2 separate regions of the Mus musculus genome follow, and region 1 is reported to be linked to region 2. The links are microRNA targets in miRTarBase. Many come from high-throughput screens and were not tested one by one. Region 2 holds a microRNA gene; the other region holds the end of a gene's coding sequence.
The links. The annotated mature microRNA mmu-miR-762 reads GGGGCUGGGGCCGGGACAGAGC and lies in region 2 at 2,858-2,879, opposite strand. An mRNA with a match to its seed (bases 2 to 7 or 8) in the 3' UTR can be bound and repressed. Matches are read on the target gene's strand: a 7mer-m8 pairs with bases 2 to 8, a 7mer-A1 pairs with bases 2 to 7 and ends in A, and an 8mer does both.

Region 1: the mRNA of Gas2l3 is a reported target of mmu-miR-762. Seed matches in the 3' UTR shown: 8mer at 4,546-4,553.

Annotation. Positions count from the first base shown.
Region 1 is chr10:89,407,197-89,414,317 of GRCm38, reverse strand. Gas2l3 (growth arrest-specific 2 like 3) reads left to right here. Exons shown (of 11, transcript NM_001033331.2): 11 at 1-5,495. The coding sequence ends at 1,115. Among named protein-coding and RNA genes, the nearest start is that of Gas2l3, 33 kb to the left of the region's middle.
Region 2 is chr7:127,704,292-127,711,412 of GRCm38, reverse strand. Mir762 (microRNA 762) reads right to left here and starts at 2,926; the gene lies at 2,851-2,926. It overlaps Bcl7c (B cell CLL/lymphoma 7C), which reads left to right and starts at 2,647. Exons shown (of 6, transcript NM_009746.2): 1 at 2,647-2,977; 2 at 3,455-3,533; 3 at 3,872-3,980; 4 at 4,076-4,237; 5 at 5,601-5,686; 6 at 6,238-6,435. The coding sequence starts at 2,886. The coding sequence ends at 6,363.

The sequences.
Region 1 (7,121 bases), not on the chromosome of region 2:
CGCCTCAGCCTCCAGAAATGAACCCTTTGTCAGCAGTTAATATGTTTCAGAAACAAAATTTAAGACCTGGCACACCAGTGAGTGTTCCGAAGAACAAGGAGAAACAGGTACGTCTACCAGGTGCACGTCTGCCTGCATCGTCAGTAAAAGGTAATTTGGCTTCCCCGTCTACCCGGGCTAAACGGCCAGATTCTCCAGCATCATTTCCACATCCCAAGGTGACATCTTTGAAGGACGCAGCAAAAAAGACGACTGCTCCTTCCAACAGTGTATCGCAGTCCCTGGCTTCTCCAAATCCAGGGTCTAAACCAAGCACTGCACAGTGTGCCTCAGAGTCATCGCGAAAATGTGTCACCTTCCCCAAGACTGCACAGACCAAGGCTATTCCAGCCCAGAATTCAAGAGATCTGTCTAAGTCCAGACTTTTACCAAGTAAATCTCCTGGAAAAATGGAACCAAAGCATTTGAAACACAATCATCTTTCTTCTAGGGATGAGTCACGTATAAACTTATCATCCAAGTCCCCAAAGCTACCTAAAGGAGCCATGCACGGAAGGCCTAACCCTTCTCCTTTCCAGCCACCTGCCAAAGTGACCAAGCCCAGTTCTAAAACCGGAGCCATAGGTCTAGGGACACAGTCTCAGCCACCCACTAGAACGCCGAGGTCAGGAGCAGTCTCAGCACAAAGACTTCAGTCTACATTGAATTTAAACAGTCCAGCTTCTGTGTGCTCAGGGTCCTCTGCAAAAGCTACTCAGGGATCGAAAGGTAAGAATACAGTTTCAGTTGCCAAAAAGCAACCTCAGAGTAAGGGTGTCTGCCGGAATCCGGGACCTGGCTCTTCAAAGTCTCCTGGCCGTACCCCGCTGTCTATTGTGACTGTTCCCCAATCTGCTACCAAGACAGAAACTGTCTCGAAGTCAGCCAAGACTGCCATGAAGGGCCAGTACTCAGCTAAAGGGCCTCCCAAAAGCAGCAAGCCACCAACTTCCTTCAGGGACCCACCCTCATCTGGTAAGGGGGCAGACAGCGGAGATAAAATGCCCACTGCCAGGAAGAAGGAAGAAGATGACCATTATTTTGTTATGACCGGAAATAAGAAGCTTAGGAAATAAATACACTTGTATCGTTTCAGCAAATCAGGGTGATCAATGAATGGCGAGCCACAAGGATCACCAAAGATCTTCCTATTTGTGTCTGTCCGGAGAGCTGCAGACATGAAGTCAAGATGGGATGAAGCTGGGTCAGGGAAAGGACCCATGCATTTTGTGTATCAATGGACAAATGTGTGAGTTTTGACCTGTATCATCTTGCTAATGATGTCTGCTGTTTGAGGGAAGTGTAAAAGTCCAAGAACACTACTAGAATTTTAACTATTGGTGGTATATTTTTGAACACAGGTTAACTGTGGAGGTTATCTGCTAATAGCAACTCCGATACTCTTAAACACTAGTTACTGTGCTCAGCCACAAAGCAATGGTTTGCTTGGCGCTAGTGTGTGCCTGTAATCCCAGCTCCGAAGGCTGAGGCAGGGGTACACAGTAGAAGCCAGCAAGGTTTTGAAATGTGCTGTAATAGGCACCTAATTTATTGGTCAGGAATCCTGGTCCAGCAATCCTAAGTACCAATGGCTCCTGCTGTTTACTTTGATATTATTCTGGATTAAATGGAATTCTTACTATTTAAATCTCTATAATATTTCCGTATCAGAAGGGACTATTTGGTTTTTTAATTAAACTTGGCTTTTTAATACTGTATCATTTTATAACCAATATTTTTGATAAAAAGAAAAAAAAACTCAACCAAGTAAGTTAACTTATTGAATCATAAGCTGAAATTTAGTAAGAATTAAGTTTTTTAAAAAAAAAAAATATATATATATATAATCTAGACACTTTGTATCTTATATTTTTAGATGAAGTCTGTGCAGTGTGACAGGGAAACATTTAATAGCTTTTAGCATACTAAGATATTTTAAATAGACATTTCCTATATGTACATATAAATTTTTTCATTAAAATAATGTGTTTTGATACCAGAATTAGGTTTTAATGATCTTAAAATTAAAAGGGATGGGGGGTGGCTCAATGGATAAGTCATGTCTAGTACAGGCATGGGGATTGGAGTTTGTGTCCCCATACCTACATACAAATCTGGGTGGGCTTGATGGTCTGCCTGTAGTCCCAGCACTCAGGAGGAAGAGACAGGATTTCCTGGGACAAGCTGGCTGGCGAGAGGAGCCGATGGATGAGAGGCAGCTCTTTTGAGAGACCACCCCTACCTTAGTAAAAAAGGAAGATTCCCAAAGTCAATGTCTGTTCTCTCTATGTACAGACTCATACATATATCCTGTTCACATATGCACACACACACACACACACACACACACACGCACACACACCTATGAATGCATATATACACACAGACTCACATACATGCATGCACACCACATATATTGACGCGTACAAAAGATTAAGATGGTATTAAGAGAACCTTTGTGTGATGCTATGCACACATCTCATCAGGTGACTTGTATTTCTTTTGCTAGCACACTGTCGATTTTAATTAGTCTCCAGATTATGTTCATCTTCATTAGTAAGGCCATGTTGTGCTCAGTTTTCCAGTGCCCAGCAGACAGTGTACCTTCTGTTCTGTAGGCAGATTCTCGTCAGGAATATCCAATGATTTCATGACAGCATAAACACCTTCCACCCACAGGGATACTTGTAAATGATTTATGTACAGGCTTGTCACTATTTAAAGTTTATTAATGTACTTTGGGAACTTTTAAGGGTGTTAAGTAACTATGGTATTACCAGTTATCCTAAGTTGTAGGAAGGAAAAGCAGGTCTAAGAGGTACACGCTTGTAATTCCATTACTTGGAAAGTGGAGGCAGGAGGATCAGAAATTCAAGGTCATGTTCAGCTATGCACTAGAGACACGCCTCAAAAAAAATTGTCACTTTGACTCCTCTTTTATAACTCAGATGCCCTCCCTTTAAAATCTGCTTTCCATCCTCCTCCTCTTCCTTTCTTTTCTTTGTGAGACTGAGGATCTATGGTGTCTTACATTGATAGATAAGCATTGCGACTGAGCTTCCTCCTCGGCCCCTTCAAATACGGTTTCTAACACAAACAAAATAGTTGACCCAGACCTGCCATCATTGAATGAGTGAGCATCGTGGCTGGCTGCTGGCATTCTCTAGACCTACATACAGCAAGAGAACCTTGGGTAAAGACCACTGGATCTTTACCCAAGCAGTATGCATAAAATCAAAGATCTACTCAGGATCCCTTACAACAGAAAACCACCAAAAACTTGCCAAACGTTCCGGTTCTGAGCATCACTAATGGCAATATGTACATCTTTGAAAGCACCTCTTAGCACTCAAAAGAGATGCCAGGGGCATTTCTGTAATCAGGAATATCTAACACACCTTTCAGAGAGGAAGGATTGTAGCTTTAGAGAGGCTATTCCCTCATAGAGAGGGCCGCCGAAACTATTTCTAGATCAGTAACTTCTGAGAATTAAAAGAAAAATATAAATTACACTATAGGCAGACTAAACCTATGACTCAGTACATTGTACAGTTTTATAAACATTATCTTTTGTGCTGGGTAATCAAGAATAAAGATATTCTCAGACACCTGGCACAAATTCCCGAATTAACTTTAGGATTATTTATTTAAGATAAAGATTGGGTTTTTTGTTTTTGTCTGCTGTTCAGTAGCATTTCTCCAACTGTAGTCATATAGGGTGAATTTCTTTGTGTGTGTACCTTGTCTTTCCTAAGCATAGGTTGTATGTGAATAAGTAATTCAGTTCCATGGGAACTGAGAGAACACTCAGCAACTCAGAACACTTGGTATTCTTGCAGAGAACCTGAGTTCTATTTCCAGCACTCCCGGGGTGGCTCACAAGCATCCAGAACTCTTGTTTCAGGGTATCTGATGCTCGCTTCTGGCCTCCAGAACACAGGCACCAGGCATTCATATTGCACACATACAGGCAAAACATTCATACATGCAATCAATCAATTAGTAAATATCTTTCCCTCCCAAATTAAAAAAGTTAAATTCTTTCTGATGTATTTTGGTATTTTCTAAAGGAGCTGATAAATCTTTGCCACAATTTAAAAAACAAGTATAATGCAGTTGTACTCACTTCTTTTTACTACTAGTGTGAAATTACATAAGGTCTTTTTGTGTTTAATATTTAATAAACCAAATATTAAGCATAAAATGCTGATGTACCTGGAAGACACATGTGTGGTTTCTTAAAAATAGAATGTTTTTGTTTTGGAATGCTTTGCTAATGTGTAATTATATAAAGCTGAACAGGGACGGGAAGGGATTTTTTTTTTTTTTTTTTTTTTAAGATTTATTTATTATTTTATGTAAGTACACTGTAGCTGTCTTCAGACACACCAGAAGAGGGAGTCAGATCTTGTTACGGATGGTTGTGAGCCACCATGTGGTTGCTGGGATTTGAACTCTGGACCTTCGGAAGAGCAGTCGGGTGCTCTTACCCACTGAGCCATCTCACCAGCCCATGAAGGGATTCTTTTTACACTCTGCTTCTGGGGAGGTGTTTGAAGAGAGCACCTTCCCAATGTATGGACTTTTAGTGCCCTTGGCCTGTCATCTCCACAAAGTCTCATCACGCAGATGCAGCTTGCCTGGCATTCTCTAGGTAGCCCAGGCTGGCCTTGAGCTCATAGCAATCCTCCTGCCTCAGTCTCCTGAGTACTGGGTTTGCAGGTTTCGGGTACCACATCAGCTTGATTTCATAATGGATAAAGGAATAGTTTGGAGAAAATAATTTCTTCTGCAGTCTTTTTTATTTCTGTCTAATTTAAAAATCTGTTACTTCCTTAAAAGGAGCTAATAAAGGTTTTGATGTATTCTTACATCCAAGTTTCATGCCATCTCTGTGTCAGTTTGGATTTGTATATATTCTGTTGTTTTTTAATTGTTGTTGTTGTTTCATGTCAGCAGTATTTGTATCCAACTTAACTTATATTTTCTCAAGTATTAAAATGTCAGCATAAACCCACTCTGTTTGCTTTTTTAATGTATTTTAACTGTGTTTTGATTATTTGACCCATGTTGGAAATTGCATATATGAAACTGATAAATTAAGAGTTTTAAATATTATGTTATTTTAAACATTTTTTTATTGTATTGTTTCTCGATATTGTTTCAGAAAGACCAGACTCGTGGCTAATTATCTTTGAGATAATGGAAATGATCAGTTATTAAAGTCAAATTTTATAGGACACACCAACACTGTGCTTACAGAAAGTCACTGATAATAGAATTTCAAACTTCCTTTTCCCATAGTCCTGTTTCAGGGTCACACTTTGATACACCGTAAATGTATTTGAAATCCTTTTTTTAATGTTCTTTTATGACCAGAGCAATTATTAAAATGGAGTTAACCTACTATGTATTTCCTGGGCTGTTTCTAAGAATAAAATCCCAAATGAAGTTTTATGTTTGCCTAACTTTATAAGTGTAAAAAATTTAAGTGTAAGTGTATTTTATGACATTCTGGAAAAGATGAGGCACACTTAAAACCTTTTTTGGGTAAATATGAAAACACAGACAAATCTTAAGTGGTTTTACAATATCTATACTGTTAATGTAGAAAACCCACAATCTTGAAGGAATAATGCAAAGATAATGTTTTCTCTTTCTACATTAGGTGGGAACAATTTAAGCACTGGTTGGAGATATAGCCTCAGTACACACCAATTAAAATTAACCTCTGTGGCCTACCTTTTATGACTCCTACCAATTTTCTTATGTCACTTTAAATTACTTCACATATTACGAAGGTGTGAACAAAGAGAAGAAACTGAAGTTGTGTATAACTGTTTGCCTCTGACAAACAGCAGTGTCTGTGCCAGGCTGCTATGGAAGAGAGAATAAGAGGGATGTTGCATTCAAGATCACTGGGTGTCTGTCACAAAACACTTAAGTAACACCTGGGCAGTGGTGGCACATGCCTTTAATCCCAGCCCTTGGGAAGCAGGTGGATTTCTGAGTTCGAGGCCAGCCTGATCTACAGAGTGAGTTCCAGGACAGCCAGGGCTACACAGAGAAACCCTGTCTCGAAAAACCAAAACAACAAAAAACAAGGATTCCATAAGAATAGGTGTTATCTTTACCAGACTGTTAGAACCATCCGGAAGGCAAGAATTATAGCTGTTGTTTACCTCTGTGTTCTCAAGAACGAAGTTTGGCACACAGTAGGCATTTAGTACTTTTTATTTATGGGGAATTTTATACAGTGTGTCCTGATCATGTTCACCCCAGGTCTATCCTAGAATTTCTTCCAGAACAACACCTCCACACTCTGTTTATGCCTTTTCCTTCTCTGGAAGATACTGTCTTGCAGTACATGTCCTGGCCCTCTGGCTTTTACAGTCTTTCTGCCTCTTCTTTGATGTTCCCTGAGCCTTCAATGTAGAGGTTGTGTTGTCAATGCATTCAGCAGGGGCAAGCATTCAATGCTCAGTTGAGCTCTGCACTTTGACCATTTGTGGCTTCCTGTAACGGTCCCCATCTGCTGTAAATAGAGGCTTCTTTGGTGAGGGATGAGAGAGCTACACTAATCTCTCAGGGTGAGAATAAGCATCAGAATACAGTTAGAGGTTATACTGGCATGGGAAACTGCTGGAGTAAGCTCTCCTCTCAGTTCCAGATCACTTCCACCAGATCCTGTGCCCTAAGTGTGATGTCTTCAAGATGTTACCTTCTTTCTCTGGCAAGTACCAGGGACAAAGGCAATGGCCTGTACTGTTTTAGGAGGTCTCTTGGACTCTCTTGACTAACAATTCAAGGGGGGGGGCGGTTCATGCCTGTCATTTGGGATTTTTATTAGTCTATTGTTTTAGGGGGAGGGAAGCATTGCCCCCCTAGTGTGTGTAATTTCAGTTCATCTCTCTTCCCCTCTCTCCCTTCCTTCTACCCTTCCTTCTTCCCTCTCTTTATGTGTACATAATTTTAGATAGTCATACTTCCCTATATCTTTTTCAAACATCCTTAGTGTTATGTAACCCTCCATGTGGCCATTCCTCCTCCTCCTCCCCTCCCCCCTCTCCCTTACCCTCTTC
Region 2 (7,121 bases):
ATGTGTCTGCTTAACAAGACATCCTTTCACCTGTGTGCCCCAGCAAACTATCATTTGATATAACTGACTTTCCAAACCAGAAGTTTCCACTTGAGTGGAGCTTGTGAGAAAGGAAACTGGAAAAGCCTGCGTGAGAGGGTTAACACAAGCAGACTGTCAGAACAAAGTTCACTGGCAGAGCACACCATAGGTGAATGGTGAGGCCACAATGTCAGCAGTGGCCACACACACACACTAACCAGCAGTATGTATTGGGTATTCATGTGTGCCAAGCACTATCCTGAATGCTTGTATATACACATTAACTCATTCCATAATAGAGGAGGCAATGAGACAAATGACTTGCCCACGGTCACGCAGGTGTGACAAGCAGAGATTTTACTTCTTACCGTTTGGAAACGCTGCCAGTCATGGTGGACATGGTCACACCAAAACGTCACAGACACCCCTCACACACATAGCACAGCAGACTCGTCCTATCTAGTGACAGCGCAGCTTCAAATAAAAATCATGCGAGACACTCTCATCTTCTTCCCTTTCATTTGAGTGTGTGTCGGGGCCATGTGTGCGTCTGAGTGGGTGCTGGAGGAGACAAGAAGGCATGGACTCCCCTGGAGGGGATTTACAGGCAGTGCGACATGGGTGCTGGGAACCAAACTACTATTCTCTGGGAAAGCAGTAAGAGCTTTTAACCAGGAAGCCACGTCGTCGTCTCCAGCCCCCGCTTTCTTTCTTTCTTCTTGAGATTGGGTCTTACTATGTATCTCATTATTGGACCAGGCTGACCTCAAACATGTAGAGATCTGTCTGCCTCTGCCTCCTGGGTGCTGGGATTAAAGTGTGAGCCACCACATCTGGCCTTTTTTCTTTTAAAGGAAAAACCAAAACGTCTCTCATTTATTTTGCCTGTGTATGATGTGTAAGAGGTGTGGAGGTCTGAGAGCTGTCAGGAGTGGGTTCCCTCTTCTATCACATGGGCTCCCAATTTTTGAGCTTGGGTCATCAGGCTTTGTGGCAAATGCCTTATTCACTGAGACATCTTGACAGCATCCATTTTAAGTAAACCTTTAGCTGAACTATAATAGACACAAGAAATATTACACAAGTATTAAATGTACATCTTGACAGACTTAAGACCAGTGTGACAAGCGGGTCCCAGAAACCCCTTCTTTTGCTTGGTAGTCCCAATAGTGATCACTGTCCAGACCCCCCCCCCAAAATGTATTTGTTTTCTGTTATATATAGAATTATATGTAGGTATGTATGTATATAATTCTAATTATTCTAATTATTATTCTAATGCATGCTGTCACATCTGACTTCTTTCATCCAAGATCTCTCTTCACTGTTGCACATAGCTGGACTCTGGTGATTCTGGCTGTTCTGTCCGTGTCCATGGTAGAAATAGGTTGTAATTGCTTTTCCATTCCATTCTTTTTTTTTTTTTATAAAGATTTATTGTTATAGCTGTCTTCAGACACAACAAAAGAGGCCGTCAGATCTCATTATGGGTGATTGTGAGCCACCATGTGGTTGCTGGGATTTGAACTCAGGACCTTTGGAAGAGCAGTCAGTGCTCTTACCCACTAAGCCATCTCGCCAGCCCCTTCCATTCCATTCTTTGTGTTGTTTCCAGGTTGTTGCTACTGTGAAAAGAGTCCCAAACTTTCCAGTATTCATATCTTGGTGTTCATACAGACACCACATTTTGTCCTAGTGAGGTTTCTAGTGATGTAATAAACACCATGACCAAAAGCACCTCGTGGAGGGAAGAATGTAGTTCAGCTTGCAGTGATAGTCCGTTATGAAGTCAGGGAAGGAACTTAAAGCAGGAACCTGGAGGCAGGGACTGAAACAGAGACCTTGGAGGAATACTGCTTGCTGACTTACTCCCCAAAGCTTGTCCAGCCTGCTTTCTTAGAGTGTTCAGAGGTGGCACTGCCCTCAGTGGTGTGGGCTCTGCCACATCAACTACCATCAAGAAAATGGCCCCACAGACTTACCCATAGGGCATCTTGATTGAGGCCCTTTCTCCACCAAGGTTCCCTCATCCCAGCTGACCTAGTTTATGTCAGGCTGACAAAAAACTAGGCAAGCACACATTTCTTCTGTTGAGTGTTGATAGCTTGGGAGTGGAAAGTGTTGGAAAACGGGGTTGGTATAAGTTTTTCACTGGAAGACTATCAGTTTTCCAAAGTATCTCTACCAATTACACAACCTGATTCAAGGAATGCCAAGTTGCTCTGCTACCCCATCTACATGGTCTTTCTCATTCCCGCCATTCTGGCTGAGGAGGCCCGCTCTCCACTCGCAGCGTCTGGCGCGTACTTGGCACTGTTCATGGGACTGTTCAATGAATGAATGAACAAATTAAGTTGGGCAGCGTAGAATCAAACAGCCTGGAGAGGGCAGACGCGCGCACAGAGCATTTCAGGGACGCCCACCCGCCGCGGACGCACACCAGGACAGTCCCTCTCGCGCACCCCTGAGCCCACGTGGCCGGAACGCACCGCCTCGCTCGGGCCGCGCGCGTCCAGCCGCACAGCTGCCCCCCAGCTCTCCCTCTCCGTGGCTGGCAGAGGGCGCTGTGCGTCCGTGCGCCCCGAGGGGCGGGCCCGGGCCGGGGCGGGGCTGGCCGGGCTTCCAGGCCGGGGCTCTAGCAGCCCGCGCCGCCCGGGCCGCTCCGGGGACGGGCCGGGGCGGGGCGCGGTCTTAGGAAGCCAGGCGGGGACGCGCGGAGGCGTTGGGGAGCGAGGGAGGGCGCGGCCAACTCCCGGAGGGACGGCAGGCCGAAAGAGCGGCGCTGGGGCCTGGCGCTCAGCCTGAGATCGCCGGACCACAGGCCGCCCCGCCACGGGCTCTGTCCCGGCCCCAGCCCCGCCAGCATGGCCGGCCGGACCGTGCGGGCCGAGACCCGGAGCCGGGCCAAAGATGACATCAAGAAGGTGATGGCGACCATCGAGAAGGTCCGGAGATGGTGAGCGCTGCCCCCGGGCCAGGGATACAGCCAAGCCACCTCCTCCAAACGCGTCCGCCCTTTCCTGGCCCGCTGCCCCCGCCCACCAGCTGTGCTCTGAATCGACAGGGCGCCCCCTTTCCCCGGCAATTCCCAGAGGTCTACAAAGCGTGGTCCGGAGTGGTGCTTTCCCTGAGCGGGAGCCCTCATCTATGCCCCGCCCCCTGAAGCTTTTGACACTCTAGCAAGCTTGGCCCCGGGTCTTCATTGCCAGAGTCCCTGGCCAGGCCTTGGTGGCGCCCTGCTGAGTGCCCCAGGTGTCTGCAAAACCGCAGCTCCAAGTTATATCCGTTTCTGCTTTGCCCTGGGGTTTGAGGGCTCTTTCTGCTTCTGTGCCAGTGTTAGCGAAGCTGTCCCTACCCTAGCACACCTCCCTGACCTCCAGTCTGTGGGGCTCATCCTTGGGCCTCCCTGATCCAGTCTCCTGACCTCCCACAGGGAGAAGCGCTGGGTGACTGTGGGAGACACTTCCCTTCGAATCTTCAAGTGGGTGCCTGTGGTGGATCCCCAGGAGGAGGTGAGCAAGCCCCAACCCCCAACAGGCCTTGCATCTGTGCAGCCTCAAGCAATTTCCCTCCCAGCCTTGGCCTCCACCTTCAGTCGGCTTGGAGACTCCAGTGTGGAGCCCAGGCAGATGGTAACGATTATTAGGGGGCGCGAGCGCACTTACACACACACACACACACACACACACACACACACACACACTTTCTCCAAGTTCAAGGCCTAACTCAATCTACACAACCTGATGCAGCACCTTTCGCTTCTCTGAGCCTAGGTTTCCTTATTCGTATTGAAGGGCTTTGTAAGAGCTCCCTAGACAACTAGCTCTGATCTTACCTCTCTAACCCCCAGGAGAGGCGGCGGGCAGGAGGCGGGGCAGAGAGATCCCGTGGCCGGGAGAGACGTGGTAGGGGCACCAGTCCCAGAGGGGGAGGCCCCCTCATCCTACTGGATCTCAATGGTATGTAGAGATTCTGGAATGGAGTTGGGTGGGGGGGACTGAAGGAATCCCCTGGGGATCTCTGGCTAATTAACGCGCGGCTTTTGCTTCATCAGATGAGAACAGCAACCAGAGTTTCCATTCTGAAGGTTCATTGCAAAAGGGTGCTGAGCCCAGCCCTGGGGGGACGCCCCAGCCCAGCCGCCCTGGATCACCAACTGGACCCCCAGAAGTGATTACTGAAGATACTCAGCCCCCACAATTGGGTCAGGAGAGAGGTAGGGCCCTGTGGCTCTCAGGAGCCCTCTCATCAAAGTTGAACCCACCATCCTGTCCTTGTTTCTTATATTATGTCCTCTCACCCGGTCCCGCCTCCCTCAGGGAATCTTCCCTGACCCTGGCAGAGATCACCTCCAGCTGTGCCTCAATCCTCCGGCTTCTTAGATCTGTAGGGAGCATATCACCAGCTGACTTTTTTTTTTTTTTTTTGCAGATTTATTTCTTTGCTTGCTTATTGTCTTTTTCTGTTATCATCTCCTGTCAGCCATACCGATCTTGATCATGTGGGATGCGTAATAGATGTTCAGGGAATAAATAATTCCAATAATCATAGGGATTAATAGCAGTAGATTAACAGCTAACAGAACCGCTTGTCTGTGAGTCGTTCCTCTGAGCACTCCGAAGTTCTGTTGTTTGTTTTCGCATTTAATCTTCACTGTCATCTTTTGGGACCAATGATTCTATCATGAGTCCTCTCTGTACACGAGGAGACCAACATCCAGAGAAAGATGCCCAGACTTAAGAGCCAGTGAGCAACACCTTGGGCCTGAGCCTTCTTCAGCTCCTCTGTCTTCAAATAGTCCACCCCTTGTCTGGTCAGTACCACTTCCCAGGCGTGCCTGACTCCTGTGCCTTTGGCTCTGCCTTCTCGTTTCTCCCTTGTACCTGCTCTGGCCTCCACGCCTGTCCCCGGTGGCTGCAGAGCAGCTCTCCTAAAGCACACGTTCGAGACGGCTATTTTCCTGCCTCACATCCTTCTTCGGCTCCCCGCAGCCTCTGGTTCCTTCACTTCACACTGAGGCCTTGACAAACTGTTGCCGCCAAAATTGTTCCCCTGTCAAGAACACCATGACATGGCCCCTGGGCCATACCGAGATTGTTCCAAATACTTTTGCTAATATAAACGGATAGGGCAGGGGAAGCGTCCAGTGGTAGGTGCTTATCTGACATGCCTAAGGCCCTGAGCCCCATCTCTACTACCACAGAAATGTAAGAAATGAATGAGTAAGTGAATGAATGAACTTGCTACCTGGCACTTACTGAGCAGCTCCACCCTTGACCCCCACACACAGCAGCCTCTCGTGGTCTGACTGACACTATTTCCATTCTGCAGATGATTTAGGATCCGTGGTTGCTAAGCATCTATTTCTGTCTGCCTAAGTTCTGCTCTACCTCTGTTGTCTCCTGGCTCACTCCCCACTAACGAGATCCAACCTGACTGAGTCTGCCTTCCTTGGCAACTAGGGATCCCCCTCTGCTGCTGCCATATGTGACCAGTGCCTGCCTGCTTCTTTTGTCCCTGATCCATTCTCCCACCACAGAGTAGCTGCTTAGGAAGTCTCTCTTTGCTTGGTATTACAGATCCAGGGGGGACACCTGCAGGCGGTACTGATGAACCCCCAAAGCTGACCAAGGAGGAGCCTGTTCCAGAATTGCTAGAAGCTGAGGTGAGAGAGGCCAGAGTCTGCACTCTGGCCTTGTGGGGACTGGAGGCTTTGGGGAAGCAGGGAGACTTGGTGCTAGGCTTAGCTGGAGGTTGGATTCTTGGGTGAAGAGTATTACAGACAGCACCCTGAGGGCTGCATCATGGCTGGTAGAAGAGCAGCGAGAGCCTGGAATGATCTTGGTGCTCCTCTAAGGACTTAAAAAATAAATAAATAAATCTAGGCTCAGAATGCAGCTTGGTGGAACGTCACTTCCTAAGCGTGCGCAAGAGCCTGGGTCCCCTGCGTTGCACAGACACACGTCCTGAGCTGTAAACTTAGCCTACGACAGTGCCTTCCCCTAGAAGAACTACCTTGATTTGCTTTTCAGAAAAATCAAGTTCTTTCCCCCAAACACTGTTGCTATTGTTTTTGGTGCCTTACCCTACATTCTGGTTACCCGGTCCTGGGCCAGACTCTGGGTTCCCACGGGAGCAGAGTGGAAAAGGCAGAGGCTAGGAGGCTGTACTCTCGGGTTAGAGTGGAGCTCACACCTGTCCGCCCTTCCTCTTCAGGCCCCCGAAGCTTACCCTGTCTTTGAGCCAGTGCCATCTGTCCCTGAGGCAGCCCAGGGTGACACAGAGGACTCGGAGGGCGCCCCCCCACTCAAGCGCATCTGTCCAAATGCCCCTGACCCCTGAGAAGCCGCCTGCCTCCTGTCCTGTTGCTCCAGGGGCCCCTTTGGCTTTTTATAAATAAAGACCCTTTTGTAATTTTGTGTCATGTCATTTCCCTGTCGAGGCTGGGGAGGGTCTTTGGAGACAGTTTTGGCTCATGCTCTGTTCCTCAGATGGGGTCACGAGGCTCTGAGATGGCCTGTAGTCACGCCATGATTACATGTGGGGTGAGGGCTTGAGCCAGGACCTCGCCTCCCTTGCACCCCCACCTTGCCCTTCAGCGACCTTTACCCTGCCCAGGGCCCAGCAGATTGCAGTCCCCAGTTCACTCACAGGAACCCAGGCCCAGAGGAAGCCCCCAGACCGCTCCCCCCCTCAGGAAGGTGCAGCATTGTCTCCAGCTGAGCCATCCCTTCCATGTGGAGCCATAGGCCCACACTTCTGGCTCTTGTGTAATTATCATCTCCTCCTAGATGTCTTCCCCTGATGCTAGACTCCCATCAGCATCAACACCTTTGAGTTTCTACAGACCTTTAAGCTTCCTTCCCTTCATCTCAATATTTATCAGGCTGTTTTCTCAATATTTACAGACTTTGAGTCTGTATTTCTGTCTTTTAGGCTTCAGGCCTCTCAAGGATAAAACTAGGTTCCCAGCTGTTCCTAGCTCAACGCTGGGGACACAGCTTAGCAAATGCTTCATGAATAACTGGGTAAATAAACAGGGCTGTAATCCCAGTACACAGGAGGATTATTGAGTTCCTCTGTCACTATATGTGTGGCTC